Linked DNA regions of Elephas maximus indicus. The protein of the gene in region 1 interacts with the protein of each later gene in a biochemical or structural test. Links are inferred from orthologs where the notes say so. Each region holds a gene or a part of one and is shown on either strand. Other genes may lie near its edges. The genes, in order: MAP3K1 and MAP2K4.

The links.
Region 2: of the proteins of MAP3K1 (region 1) and MAP2K4, one has a biochemical effect on the other in vitro, tested with the Homo sapiens proteins (7 studies listed by BioGRID and IntAct, with this or other methods). The link is inferred for Elephas maximus indicus from reciprocal best matches to the Homo sapiens genes MAP3K1 and MAP2K4.

What each region holds. Positions count from the first base shown.
Region 1 is NC_064820.1:60,718,466-60,726,139, forward strand, and holds the start of MAP3K1 (mitogen-activated protein kinase kinase kinase 1), read left to right. Parts: upstream 1-4,524; 5' UTR 4,525-4,560; coding exon 4,561-5,042; intron 5,043-5,048; exon of another isoform or gene 5,049-5,346; intron 5,347-5,569; exon of another isoform or gene 5,570-5,676; intron 5,677-7,674. UniProt on the Homo sapiens protein: Component of a protein kinase signal transduction cascade. Activates the ERK and JNK kinase pathways by phosphorylation of MAP2K1 and MAP2K4. May phosphorylate the MAPK8/JNK1 kinase.
Region 2 is NC_064837.1:7,842,030-7,850,051, forward strand, and holds the start of MAP2K4 (dual specificity mitogen-activated protein kinase kinase 4), read right to left. Parts: upstream 3,062-8,022; 5' UTR 3,016-3,061; coding exon 2,895-3,015; intron 2,585-2,894; exon of another isoform or gene 2,518-2,584; intron 1-2,517. UniProt on the Homo sapiens protein: Dual specificity protein kinase which acts as an essential component of the MAP kinase signal transduction pathway. Essential component of the stress-activated protein kinase/c-Jun N-terminal kinase (SAP/JNK) signaling pathway.

The DNA.
Region 1 (7,674 bases):
TATTAAGGAGATCCTTGAGAAAATGTATGCTGTCTTTGAATATTTATGCAAAAATTATAGTCATAATTAAGCCACAAAAGTTCACAAAGCCAATGGAAGTGGTACTGAACCGCTTGGTTCACAAACAAAGCCTTGTCTACATAGGATTCAGTGAATCATAAAGGAAGATAAAACTGGCAAGGACGCTAATCCAAAGAGAGTAATTCGAATATTATAGGAGGTCCTTGAGAAAATGTCTGAGGTCTTTGAATATTTTTGCACAGATTATAGTCATGATTAAGCCACAAAGGTCAAACCAACAAAGAATATCTTGTCATATATCAAAAAACAGCAATCAACGTGGCTCATTCAAAGAATTGAAAAAATTAGAGCAGAGTTGTAAAGATAAGCAGATTTTTGCTAATATTAGACAGAGCAATCTTAATAAATTGTGGTTTTATTTGTTAATATAAAATCCCAATTCAACTGTTTTACTTATTTACTACAAAATTTAGTTTCTAATTTCAAGTACATGCAAATAAATGCAAAATGTTTAGATGGTTGTTTAATAAAAGGGAATCATAAAAACATATATTTATTTAAAATACTTTACTTAAGCTTAAAACATATAAAGGCTTTCCTTTGGTTTGGTTTGGGGTTTTTGTTTTTTCCAAGTATTCGACTCTAGGGCCTTGGTCTTTTGAGTGTGGGTCCACTGTTCTATTTATCTTGCTCACATATTGCATTGCCTACAGTTTCCAGTTTCAGTTTCTTTAAAGTGAGAACTGAAAAATACCTGCAAAGTAATTTTTTTTTTTAGATTTGAATGCTTTTTTCCCACTTTTTTACAATCATCACAACTGCAACTAACTTGAAGATATTTTTTTCAATGACTGGCCTTCATTCATTCTTTCAAAATATTTAACTTAATTTTTATTGGTACAGTTTTCTTTTTGCACTTACATACTCATGTTGCATTAATTTAATAATCCGTTTAATAATATTTAATTAAATTTCCTAAGCAAAGTTATGATAGGTATAATCAGGTTCGAGAATAAACACAACAGACTCTCCCAGGGACCATAATTCACCTGCCGGGAGCAGAAGTGGGCAGGTGCACACCAGCCACTGACCATGAACATTCATTGTGCAGTGGCATTCCTCAGCATGTCATACACAGAGAACGACAAGCAACTGTTACTGATGAGTCAGGTAAGTAGAGGCTAGTTAAAAACTTTCTACAATTATGTCACCTGCAGTGCCCTTGTAGTGGAACCAGTAATCCACAGATAGCAGTTTCCTGACTAAAACATCTGGAAACACCTGGCAAATGTGGTATCTGGGAAGAACATGGCAAAACCAAGATCTAACCCCAGCTCTCCTGCTCCCTAATAAATATTTATAAAGCCTGGAGGAACACCAGCTTTTGTCCTATTCTCAAGGTTACATTCTTACTTTTTATAGCCATCTAAGATTTTTTTTTATAACTCACGCAAGTGTGAATACGTGTATACACACTGATGGATCTTAAATTCTAAATCAGAATCAGTCCAATAAATACCCACTAATAAAAACAATTATAGATGGGAATATTTAATTATTTTTTTGTAAATATGAAAAACAACAAACAATATCCTTAGAGGAGAAAACTCCTTGCATGTGAATATCAGGTGCTTAATAAATATATGATGAATGAAATACAAGCTGATATATTTCTGCCATTGCATACTAAGTCTCTTCATTCTAATGTTAGTGATATTTGTGTACAACGAGGAAATACACCAATATTAAACTGGTTTCTCCAAATGAACATGATGTAGCAACTGAAGTGTGACTTAGGTGATTCCCAGAAGCACTATGTGAAAGCAGTGATCTGTAAAGCACTCACATAAAGGCTACAGAAACTGTCGTGGCATAAATGAAATCACGGCAAGGTTTGTATCCTCCAGTGAAGATGGAAATAAGGAGCTTGAAAACAGTAACTGGAGTTTTCAGTTCCAGAAGCGACCTTTGAAGAGACCTGAGTCTCCGTTAAGTCATTAAAGAAATCAAATTAAAGCAATTCAGAGTATACATTAGCTTGATATTTGACATATGAATCTCTGCAGTAATAAAAAAAACATGACACAGCAGCACCAAAACTAGCATTTACAATCTTATCCGTGCTTAAGACTCAGAAACTACGGTAATAATTCCTTGCAGCTGGATTCTCCGCGAAGAAGATTTTATATTAACTTTCCGCCGAAGGAGAACACTCTTTTCCAATCGAGCATGTCCTTTGGTTAGTTTTCTCTCTTAAAGAAAAAAAAAAAAGAGCGAGAGCGAGAGCGAGAAATCAGCAGGCCGGTGTGTAGATGCATAATGGCAATCCGAATATTTACATAAAAGATTAAGGGGAAAATTACTCAAAATGCCAAAAACTATCCAGCTCTCAGGTTTCTAGTGGCAGTGTATGGTGGATAGAGGAGGTCAGAGAATGTAGCTGACTGATAGTGCTGTTTTTGTTCCCATCTGTCTTTGGTCCCAAGTTTGAATCCCTTTGGATGAATTAGTGGGCAAAGGCAAAGTCTGCTGGAATCCTGTTTTATTTTAGCTACTCTGATCAAGCTTCAAAATTGTTCCTATTTTGAAAGGTTCCTGGCTCCACCGAACTTTTCTCACAGGTACCTGACCGTGTGTGTGTGCGTGCGTGTGTGTGTGTGTGTGTGTGTGTAAATGTAAAGGTTTTTAGATCTAAATAGGGAAGTGGAAAGTTTATTCTTTTCAATTTAGTGGGTGTGGCAATCCGGGAAGATCAGGGAAGTAACTACTGTTTGGTTTGGATGATACACTTGGCTATCGTTAAAAGAGCATATAATTATAGGCTAAACGTAGACTTAAAATTTTAACAGATTTATCTAAACTTTCAAAATTTGTACCGTTGGATGTAATTATCTAAAACTGTCTGATGGCAGGTGTTGTACCAGTATTAAAAACAGTGAACTAATATGAAATCAAGACCCTTAAAAACTCCCTCCACTATCACCTTGCTCCTCAGGTAACATACCTAGAAAGGGGGTTTTAATTGTATCAAGAAATGAAAGGAATTATTACATGGATAGTTCAGTCCAGGCCATGCATAGTTCAGGCTTTCGTCTAAATATTATGAAGACAGACAAGATAGCTCTCTCCTTTCTCTGCGTGGGAAGCCCCCTCCCCCCGCATTAAAATAAATTACCATTATTTAGTGTTTCTCAAAATATACCTAGAGACGCTGCTCCTGTCTTCTGGGAGATTTCCCATCACAGACAAACCAACTTAAGAGAAACGCAACACAACTCTACCCGGCTGAACAAAGGTCGAAAATCATTAACATGCAAATGAACCTTTTTCTATCCCAAAGCACCTTACGGCAGACTCTCCCCAGGGATGTTACTGTTGCTAGACCCATCCAGCAGCTCCCCAGGGATCCAGGGGTTCAAAACACCGCGTTTGGCAACCGGGTACTGCGGGGGATGGGGATGGGGGTGGGGGTGGAGGCACCTGGGACCATCGCCCGACCCCGCCAGGAAGAGGGACGTGCAGCGAGGGGCGTCGGGTTTGGGGAGGGCCAGGGCCAGGCTGAGGATGACATTATCGAGCACTTCCTGCACAGCGTAGGTTCCTTCCCCAAAGGTGCTCTATCTGGTTCTGTGCCCTTTCCAAAGTCAGAGCCGAGGAAAAAACAAAGCTCCTCAGGACATCCATGTGTCTCCATAGCCAAGTGGTACTGGGGAGACAAGGGCTGTCTGAAACCAACGACTTCAGGATGTAAACACGGTATTCCAAGAAACTTTGAAGTTTTGATTATTTGTAGCACGAGGGGCGGGGGACAAAAGAAGAGGAAAAATTTCTTCAAAAAAAAACTTTGTTTTTGGTCCGCAGCAGCACGTCCACTGAACGTTGGGTTTCTTTCGCTTTGCAGCAGGCAACACCCCCGGCGCCACCTGCGCGTCGCGCGCGGAGCGGGCAGGATGGGGCTTGGCCCGCGCCCGGGTCTCCCGACGCCACTGCAAAGGGCAGTGTGAATGACAAGACTGCAAATCTCCTCCCCAACATCCCCTTCCACGCATCACACGCACACATTCCAACTAATTATTTATTTCGGAAGCTGCAACTTCAGTAGGGCGAGCTCCCGGTGGGCCGAGCCGAGATTGCAGCAGACACGAAGCGGCGCGATGCTGCCACTCCGGCACCTCCTGTGGCCGGTGAGGCCCGCGACTACCTGGCGGCGCGGCGGGCGCAGCACGCAGAGTCCAGGAAGTTCCACCGCCGCCACGTCCGAGTCCACGGCGCCGGCCCGCCCGCCCCGCCGAGCGCGCAGCCCACTCCCCCCAACCTGCTGCGCCGCCGCCCCCGCCGACCCGCCCTCCGCCTCCGGCCAAACCCCGCGCCCCCGCCCGCCCGTCTGTCCCGGGCAGAGCCCGGCGGGCCACGCTCACGCAGTTGGCGCAGGCAGTTCTACGCTGGCGGCGCAGCGCCCGCCGGTCCGCCCGCCCCCTGCGCTCTCCCCGCCCCCTCCCTCCCTCTCGGGGGCCGAGCGAATGTAGCCCGCGAGAGAAAATGGCGGCGGCGGCGGGGAATCGCGCCTCGTCGTCGGGATTCCCGGGCGCCGGGGCGGTGAGCCCCGAGGCGGGCGGCGGCAGAGGGCCCCTGAAGGCGAGCAGCGTGCCCGCGGCAGCCGCGGGGCTCCTGCGGGAGGCGGGCAGCGGGGGCCGCGAGCGGGCGGAGTGGCGGCGGCGGCAGCTGCGCAAAGTGCGGAGTGTGGAGCTGGACCGGCTGCCCGAGCCGCCGATCTTCCTCGCCGCTTCTCCGCCGTCCTCCTCAACTTCCCCGTCGCCGGAGCCCGCGGACTCGGCAGCGGGCGGGAGCGGTTTCCAGCCTCTGGCGGTGCCGCCGCCCCACGGAGCCGTGAGCCGCTGCGGCGCCCAGCCTGCAGAGCTAGTGGCCGCTTCGGACAGCGGCGCCCCGAACCTCGCAGGGGCCGAGCCCGGGGAGAAGCGAGCGTCCGCCGCCGAGCCGTCTCCTGCAGCGGCCCCCACCGGGTGAGTAGCACCGCCGGGGGCGCGGAGAGAACTTTGGTTGTAGGCAGAGGGCAATGAATGAACCCCGGGTACCGTGCGCAGCGTCCTGGGGCCGCGTTCTGGGATACTGCGCGCCGCTTGCCGGGGTCCGAACCCCCGCACCCCCCGGGCACCCTCTCAGACCTCCTCCCGGCGTCGGGCGGCGCCCCGGACCCGGCCTAGGGGTTGGACGGGGTCCCGGGGCGGGGAAGTGCCGGGGAGTTTGTTATTGTTTGTAGACATGTGACAGACGTGCCAACCCGTCTGCGGGACCCGTTGCGAAAAGGTGTGGAGGCCCTGGCTAGCTCTGGGGCTCTGGGAATCCGTGCTCTCCGAGGAGCCGGGGCTTGAGACCCCGGCGCTGCCCTCAGGGCAATTTGGGGCCGGACCCAGGGGGCAGGGGGCAACCAGGTGGCGGCGCGCCAGGAACGGAGTCTCGGGGACGGGGGGCGAGGCCGGAGCCGGCCGGCGGGCGGTGGTCGGCAAAGGGGCGGGGTGGGTGGGGAGCCCCAACCGGAGGCCGGGGCGAGGGCGAGAGGACAGAAGAGAAAGCGACGAGGTCTCTGCGGCCGTGACAGGCCGAGCCCCTCCGCCCGCCTGGAGCTCGAGTCCTGAGGCAGGTATCGGGGGCCGGGCCCGGATGCCGCGGCGCGCCCCAAGAGCCGGCAGTAGGGGATTCCCGGGGGACGGCTCGGTAACGCCTGTCAAAGCGGTGCGGACAGATAGACTGCAAACTCGTGGGACTTGCAGTCTTTTCGAAATTGGGGTTTTCTAATTGCGTCCCCCCCAAAGGGGCTCCGAGAGTACTTGGGAATGCGAACTGCACGGAGAAGACTAGAGCGACTTCGGTTTGGAGTTTGAATTTGGTCTTTGAAGTTTGCATTTGGCTGAGTGGTGTAAGAGACCCGACCGGATGTGTCAGCCGTTCAATTTCAAAGCGGTGGTGACTGCTCCCCGCAGTTCCTCCGGCGTGGTTCGGGAGCGCGGCGCGGGTGCGGTGCTTCCTGCTCTGTGCAGCTGCGTCGGCCGACTGCCGAATTCCAGGGTTTTTTTGGGGGTTTTGTACAGAGCTGTCGGCTCAGCTAAGACAGACCTGTGGGGCTTATGCAGTACGATACATACGTGCAGTGTAACTCAGAGGAGCGATTCGTGGCCTGACCCTTTTTTCGCAGCTGGGGTTTTTTATGTTAAAGGAAATTCAAATAAATATGACAGCTATAATCTTTTTTTTTTTTTTTAATCTGGCTAACGTATACAAAGCACAAAGTCTTGATGGTGTATTTTGAGTTGCTGGAAATGGTTTTGTGATGGTCACCCTTTGCCCTGTAGAATTCCCTGACCCTTGTTGTGAGTATTTTAAAGAGTGTGTAACTTAGGTTTGTGTTTCTTGTGAGACTAATTTGACAGTGGAAATCTTAGTTTTGGTTCATTATCTGAAGTGATTTGGTACTTTTTTGTGAGATTATTTGTTTAAAACTACAGTTCATTTATTACTTGGATGTCGCTCCCTCCCCTGAAAATAAATAAAAACTAAGAAAAAAAAATAGACTTTACCATGGCAGTATTGAAACAAAAGGAGATTGTGACTGTGATAGTTTTTTGTGTGCACTTGTACATGTAACTTAGTTTTACAAGAGTTATATTCCTTTACAGTTTTCTATTTCTATGCACATTGGACAAAAACTTAACTGGAAAAATTCTTTGAAGGCAAATGTGAGAAATTAGTTTTACCTATACTCATGATACATAACTCTTTGGATGCAATAAATGATTTAGTAAATATCAGCATTCTGGTCTTCTCATTGAGCTATGAATATAGTATAAGGGCAGCCACTGTTAAGATAACACATAGAAGTTGTTTGGTATGGTCTTCTGACACAAAATAAGAGAACTAAGGTGGAAAAAAAAAAGCTATGAATATAGTATAAGGGCAGCCACTGTTAAGATAACACATAGAAGTTGTTTGGTATGGTCTTTTGACACAAAATAAGAGAACTAAAGTGGAGGCAGATAGAATTCAGGGACTGAATAAATCCATGCTTAGTTTTTGTGTTTTATAACCTAGGTTTTTTTCTCCTCTTTGTTTAAGGGGCGGATTATAAATTGCACAGTATATGATATAATAGACTAGTTTGCATAACCTTTTTTTTTTTTTTAATGACTTTCATTAGCCAGAAAGCTTTTGGCTCATCCCACATATAAAAGTAATTATTTCCTTTATAATTAAGTGTTGATTCCCTGTCTTTTTAAAATACGATGATTTTTCTAACTTCTTTGGCAATTGGGGTTGAAATTCATTTCAGTCTCTTGGTATAAACACTGAGTATAAGTAGTTCAATAAAACTTGAATTGAGCTTTGCATTATACTTGTTGACAATAGTTTCATATGTTCAGGAGGAAAATCAGACAGTGAGATTTTGAAATATTTTTATGTTCGAGTAGGAGTAGGGGTCTAAAGACCTCTTCTGTCTAAAGACCTATTTTTTTTTTTATTAATTCTATGATTTCAATTTGAGAATTCCCCTTAGTTTTTTTTTTAACTTTTTTATGTTGAATGTAGAAATTAAAATTGTAGAAAATACACTTGTGAGGTATAAATTATATAAATAACAGT
Region 2 (8,022 bases), on another chromosome or scaffold:
TGGTGAAAGGAACACAGTAGAGTGAAGTGTAAGGCCCTGTAATACTGAAGCTACATAAAGTGGTAGATGATGAGGGACAGTGACTCATCTACTAATAATCAATGAGACCGTTACCACTAATAGCACTGCTGACAGCTAACATCTATTCCATCTTCACCATGAAAGACCCCATACTCTACATTCATCCTCATATCATCTATGAGGTAAGGATTATTCCCTCTTTCCAAATGAAAAACTGTGGCTTCAAGGTAAGTAACCTGCACAAGATCACAAAAATCTTAAATTGTGGTAAGGGGATTCAAACCCAGGACTCTAGAGCTCAGGCTCTTAAGCCTTAGGATATTAAGAAAACAACGTTTCACACTTTGGACCACCCTTGCCACAAACTTCAAGCCATGAAAAAGCGTGGAAGGTTGTCCAATGCCTAGGAAATGCTTATCCCACAGGAGGACCTCCGGTGCCTATTAAATGAAATATACTCCATGTGTCCCACAGCTGAATCCTGCTGTTTGCAAGAGCATGGTCAATAACAGCTTCCAGGAAGGTGGTTTCCTGAGGTGGCAAGTAGAAGCCAACTGGAGGGAGCGGAAGCAGGCGGTTAGGCAGTACACCAACACCTTCTAAGGACCACTCTCTGTGAAGTCTAATCGAAAGCCAAGAAAGGTCTTTGGAAGATGAAGTATGGGAGGTTTAGGTATAATATAACAAAATAAACAGAAAACAGAGATCCTGAACTGCTGCTTAAGCTCGAGTTTTATATCCTGAGAATTTCAAGTAATTCTCTTCATTCTGAGTAACCAAAAGAGGCTCAAGAACAAGATATAAACTGAATCAATCAAGGTTAGACACAGTCCTGATACAATTAAACTAATTCAGAGACAAATGAAAGAGGGATGCTATGCTCTCCCTTTTAAGATGGATTCTGGGTATTAAGACATAGGGGAAGGAGAGGAGAATGAGGAGCATCAGAACAACTAACCGCAACCACTTTCTCTGAGTTCCTAGCACACTCCAAGCTCTGTCCTGTTTGGGAATCATCACGTACACTGTGCCCTCCATTGAGATGCTCTTCTGGTAGAAGAGGGTCGGCTTTTCAGACAGGCCTTCCCTGAATATCTTCTCAGAGCTGAATGCCCTTACCCCCATTACTTTCTACCCAGTTTGCTACCTTCATAACACTTTCTCAAATTGTAATTCTTCTTATTTACCTGCATATCGTCTTCCCTCCCCCATTCTCATGGGAAGGTAAGCCCCATCAGGGGTGAGACCCTCTAATACACTCTCCTCTGAACACCCAGTACTACAGTTCTATGCCTGGCACCTAGCAGATGTTCAATAAATAATTTTTGAACAAAAATACAAATGTATACAGCTTTTTCAAACTGTCACCTCCTGCTGTCCGGGGGAAAAAAAAAAGCTTGCATGATTTTTATAAGTCACCCTTTTTGGACCAACAACACAGTCCTCAATTGTCATTTTGCTGTTTCATTTTCCCCCACCACCTGGACTGTGAAGCTGTGAGATCCGGAACCCACCCTGGACTTCATCTGTATACTGTGCTGTGCAAAACCGTGGCCATTCAATAACCAATTCAATCTGAATTAACTTATGGCCTGCACAAAGTGTCCTCTGAGCGCTGACGTCATCCTGTCTATATATCTATCATTGTTCCTTATGTATATTAAAATTACCTCATGGGCAAGGTGGTGCGGATAGAAAGATGAATAAAATCCTGTCTCTCCTTCCTGAATCTCACACACACACACTCATAAACACGAAATATTCAATTCAAGGGACAGCCCCTGGAGCCCTTTAAGAAGTTCAACCAAAGAGCAGCCAGGGTCACACTGACTACCAAGGGTACCCCCTAATGACTCTACTCATAATTCAATACAAGCAGTTTGCTAAAGTTGTCAAGAGATTTCCGACACTCGCTATTTTAAAAATAGCATTCCTACTCCAAATTCCCCAGTAAGCTTAAGGAAATGGTCCCTAGTGGGCTGGGGCCTGGTAAGTGTATTTTCACAGCACCCCCTGTCAAGGGCCACACCGAGCTAATAAGCATTCCCGGTGGGAAAGCCATTAAGTAGGAAGGCTGCCTCGGCTGTCCAGACACTACACAGTACCAGCTTGACCCCTGCTTGTTTCCGGTATCTCTCCATTGACACCGAATTCACCTTTTTTTTTTTTTCCTGCATGCAGGGCGAACACAGAAATCCCTCCACAGCCTGGTACACACGGGCTCCCCCAGGCCAGGGCTGTCCCAGCACCTTACAGGTGGCCCAGGCCTGAGCAATCCTCAGCCCCTCCCAGCGCCCAGAAACCTGCAGAAGTTGGCCAACGCCGGTTCCGACAGGCCCGCGCGGCCCAGGGGTCAGGTCGGCGGGCCGGCGGCAGCCGTGCCCCGCGGAGAACCAGGGCGGCCCGGCCGGGGCCCCACTGCCTACCTGCCCGCGCGCGGCGGGGACCGGAGCGAGGAGCGAGGAGCGAGGAGCGAGGCGAGCAGCGAGGCCCGCCCGCCGCCGCCCGCCCGCCGCCCGCGCCCCGGCCCGCAGGTCCCGGAAGCCGGCCGGCCGGCGGCCAGGTAAGCGGCGGCCGCGAGCGGGGCGGCTCCCGGGCCAGGTGGGCCCCGCGGGCCGGCGGAAGGGCCGGCAGGGCCGGGCGGCCGGGCGCCGCGGGAGGCCGCGGCCGGGGCCTGCGCGGCCGGGGCCCGGATGCTGGGCGGCCCGGAGGCGGCCGGGAGCGGCGGGAAGCCGGGGAGGGAGGGCGCGCGGCGCGGGACCTCGGCGGCTTCCTCAGCCCGGGCCGGGGGTGTGCGCGGCCGCCGGGACAGGCCGCGACGGCGCCGACGGCCGCGCCAGGGGGCAGGGGTCTCGGCGGGCCGCGCTCCTTACCCTGCATGCTGCTGACGGCCGGCTGCCCCGGCGCCGGGGGCCCTATGGAGCCCGGGGCGCCGCTGCCGCTGCCGCTGCCGCCCCCGGAGCCGCCGCCGCCGCTCGGGCTCGGAGCCGCCATTGTTGGGAGTGAGGAGCCCAGCGGCGCCGCGGCGGCTGCAATGCAGCAAGTCGGCCTCTCGCACGGCCGAGGGGCGGGGCCAGCGCCTCCTCGGCCCCGCCCCCGGCGCGGCTCGGCCCCGCCCCGGACACGCCTCGGCCCCGCCCCCGGCACGCCCCCGCCCCCGGCCTGACGCGGAGCCCGCGCCGCTGGGAAACTGCAGAGCCGCCCAGGTCTGGAGGACTGGACCCGACAGGCAGGCAGGGATCCCGGCCCTGGGCCGCGCGCGGGCCCGCAGGGTCTAAAAGTAGTCTGCAGAATTATGAGTGTGTGTGCGTTGGGCGGGCGGGCGGGGTAAGAGGATACATCGCTTTCATCATTCCCGCAGAGGTCTGTGACCCCAAAAGTTTAAGAACCCCCTTCCTGGAATCTCAGAACTCAAAATAGTAAAGATGCAAAGGATCCCAAGAGTCGTGCTTCTTGTCCAGTCTCTGACACGGCACATCCAGAGAGGATCGGCTATGGGTATGGTTCCAGTCTGGAATTCCTGTTAGGCCATACCTAACACCCCAACTTTCTACACTGCCCTGGGGCGTGAGAGGGGCTGCTACTCAAAGTGCTGTCCATCCCAAATCTACTGAATCAGAATCTACATTTTAGTGCTATCCCCAGGTAACCTGTATGCACATTAAATTTGGGAAGCAGTATCTCAAGCACTCAACACTCCCTTGCTGTTAGTTGTTGTAGAGTCAGTTCCGGCTCAAGGTGACCCCATGGGTGCAGAGCAGAACTGCTTTGTAGGGTTTTCAAGGCTGTGACCTTTCGGAAGCAGATTGCCAGGCTTGTCTTCCAAGATACATCTGGATGGGTTCGAACCAACAACTTTTTGGCTATACAGCTCCCTGGCCCTCCAAAATATACTACCTATGTCATCATCCCCCCCTCAACAAGTGCCAGACTCCCTTCCCCCAACCCCTCTACATCTTACAAGGCCAGCCATAGTCAATATTATAAATTACATAAAATGACACCCAAACAAAAAAAAAAAAAACAGATTTCTGCCAGTGCTTTGCACAGAGCATTTTGATTTTAGTAAGGCAGCAGCTTAAAGCAGAGAAAGAGTCCTCTCTGAGGCTGGAGTGTTGTCAGCCAATGGAAATGTAATTGGGGTGGTGAGACAGGTTTAAGGGCAGAAATATGTCTTGCCTGTAACAGAATGACCAACTTTACTGCACACCAAGGGATCTATACCACGTAGCCGGATGTTCCCTGCCCTTTGGAAGCATTGCACAATCTATTCCAGAACCTCCTTCTTGAACTCCTTCCACCCAGATCTTATCTGATGCTGGAGTTTCCTGTAGCATGTTGGAAATGTATCCTAGGTCGCTCCAGCCCCAACCTCAGCCATCACCTTGACTGCCCAAATCTTAACACTGGCTAGAGATAGGAGATACAAAAAAATCCAAACCCACTCCTGGGGAGTCCATTCTGACTCATAGTGACCCTACAGGACAAAGTAGAACTGCCCCGTAGGATTTCCAAGGCAGCGAATCTTTACAGAAGCAGACTGCTACATCTTTTCCCATGGAATGAATGGTGGGTTTGAACCACCAACCTTTTAGTTAGCAGCTGAGTGCTCTAACCACTGTTCCACCAGGGCTCCTTAGAGACAGGAGATAGAGGAAGTAAACTAGAGAGGCAATAAAGCCAAATAGAAGGTGAGAGCACATTGGTGTGCTTAGAGAGCCGGCCGCATTCCAGTCTGCCAGAATTCTCCTCCAGAGGCCAGGCTGATGGAGCAATATCTCCAGGACAGGGTCACCATGAACACTTGCCAAATCACCATCTGAGAATCAGTATCCCACCTTGCTCCTGTTGGTCCCGGAGTGTCCTAAATAAATGTCAGTTTCTTGAAGGGGAAATCTTACCAAAGTCCAAAAAGAAATGTTTGCATACAGGCTGTCCAGCTAAGAATACAGGTTAAATATTCTGTCTGTATCCTCTGGATACTGCTGATGGGAAGAGAAACAACAAACAACAAAGGAAAGAAGAAGCCGTGGCTCTCTAACATTCTGTCCTTTTAAGGCATAAACCTTGTTTTTTTTGTTTTTTTGAGCTTATGTTCAAATACCTGGCGGAGTTGGTATGAAAAAACAAATGGGATATTTCTTTCAAAACATTAACACATCAAACACATGTGGTCAATTGATTTTCAACACGTTGCCAAGAACATTCAATGGTGAAAGAATGGTCTGTTCGATAAATGGTGCTGGGATTACTGGATTTCCACATGCAAAAGAATGAAGCTTGACCTCTACATCACCCCATACTAAAAAATTAACTCAAAATGAATCAACGACCTTAATATAGGAGGTAAAACTGTAACACTCTTAGAAGGAAACATAGGAGTAAACTCTTCATGACCTCTGATTGGGCAATGGATTCTTAGATATAAAGCATGAACAAGAAAAAATAAATAAATTAGACTTCATAATAATCAAAAACTTTTGTTTTTCTAATGGCATTCTCAAGAAAGGGAAATAACCTACAGAATGGAAGAAAATATTCGGAAATCATCTATCCGATAAGGGTTTAGTATCAGTAATATATAAAGAACTCTTACATTCAACAACAAAAACACAACTCAAAAACGGAGCAAAGGACTTGAGTAGACGTTTCTACAAAGAAGATACACAAATGGTTAATAAGCACATGGAAAGATATTGAAGATCATTGGTCACTAAGGAAATAAGGAAATGCAAGTCAAAACCACAGTTAGATAACATTTCACACCAAGTATGTTGGCTTTAATCAAGAAAACAAAAAACAACAAGCATTGGCAAGGATGTGCAGAAATAGAAACCTAGTCCATTGCTGGTGGGAATGTAAAATGGTGTAGCCACTTTGGAAAACTGTTTGGCGGTTCCTCAAAAAGTTAAACATAGACTTACCATATGACCCAGAAATTCCACTCTTAAATATATGCCCAAAAGAAATGAAAACACATGTACACAGGGAAACCTGTGCACAAATATTTGTAGCAGGATTATTCATAACAGCCAAAATGTGCATCAGCGGATGAGTAGATAAACAAATTGTGACATATGCATACAATGAAATATTCAGTCGTAACAGGGAACAGAGTGCTGATACATGCTACAACTTAGATGAACCTTGAGAGCTTTATGCTGAATGAAAGAAGCCAGACAAAAAAGATCACATGGTGTATGATTCCTTTTTATGATACATCCAGAATAGGCAAATCCATAGAGACAGAGAGCCAATTAGTTACTGGGGGTGGGCAAAGGGGAAATGAGGAGTGGCTACTGAATGGGCACAGAGGGGTTTTTTATGGGGTGATGAAAAAGTTTAGAAACTAGAAAGAGTTGGTGGTTGCACAGCACTGCGAATGCACTAAATACTGCTGGATTGTACACTTTACAATGATTAACTGTATGTTGTGTGAATTTCACCTCAATAAAAAACTAAACCGAAAGAAATCCACACAACATGGCAGTGATTAGAAAATACGGATGCAGGAAAATAGGGGAATCCCTCCCCTCCCCCAATACAATACGTGTGTATTTCCCTTGGCTTAGCCATTTTGGCATGAAGGGAAAAGGCATCAAGAGCACCATACTTTGCTGGCAAATGTCCCAAATGTAGTATCCTGTCATCACCAGGCTCCAGATGCAGGATGACTCGACTTCACACAGTTCTATTGGAGCGATTTTCCTACACTTTATTTCAGTACCTGCCAGTAGGACTCCCAGCCAGTTCCTGTTATCTAAATGTCACTGTTGAGTATGACTGTGTCATCTCACTTCTCCTTTCCAGTTCCTTTGGGATTAGAGGAATGCCAAGAAAAGGCTTGGAGAAGTTTTATTCTCCACACCCCCATAAGAACCACTAACATCCCACACCCATTTTTTTATGTGAAAAACTAATATAGCCACAGTCTTATGGAAAGTGCTACACGCTCCCTTTTCCAATTATGTGTATTTCTTTATTAGAAACTCTAGAGGCAATACTAGAGATTAGGCCATTACTAAAAAATAAAGAACATATTATTTTCCTGTATTGTTTTAGATTATGTAAAGGTTACATTTAAGATTTTCCTAAAGAGGTTTAATCAAGTCAGAAAACACTGACCTGATGATATGGTTGGATGGACACAAATAAGAAAACCATGTAAGCAACAAATAAACCTAAGGGAAAACATTCCAGCTAGCAAATTCATTGAGGAAAGTTGAATGAAAATGGCAATATACAACCAGTTAGGGTTTTTGTTTAATAATACCTGATGCTGGCACGTTTGTGATAAAACCGAGATAACACTTGCATTGCTGTTGGCATTGAAAACTGGTGGATAGGAACCAGGATAACAACCACTAATTATGACTGAATATGGGCCAAAACAAAGACCGAGAGAGAGAAAGGACTATGAGCTGTTCACACTAATGAAGCTGTGCACTTCCTACTTTTCTTTTTTAATTGTGCTCTAAGTGGAAGTTTGGAAATCAAGTCAGTCTCTCATATAAAAATTTATATACACATTGTTATATACTCCTAGTTGCTCTCCCCCTAATGAGATGGCACACTCCTCCTCTCTACCCTGTATTCCCTGCGTCCATTCAGCCAGCTTCCGTCCCCCTCTGCCCTCTCATCTTCCCTCCAGACAGGAAATGCCAACATAGTCTCATGTGCCTACTTGAGCCAAGAAGCTCACTCTTCACCAGTATCATTTTCTATCCCACAGTCCAGTCCAATCCCTGTCTGAAGAGTTGGCTTTGGGAATGGTTCCTGTCTTGCGCTACCAGAAGGTTTGGGACCATGACCTCCGGGGTCCTTCTAGTCTCAGTCAGACCATTAAGTCTGGTCTTTTTATGAGAATTTGAGGTCTGCATCCCACTGCTCTGCTGCTCTATCTGGGATTTTCTGCTGTGTTCCCTGTCAGGGCAGTCATTGGTTGTAGCCAGGCACCATCTAGTTCTTCTGGTCTCAGGCTGATATAGTCTCTGATTTATG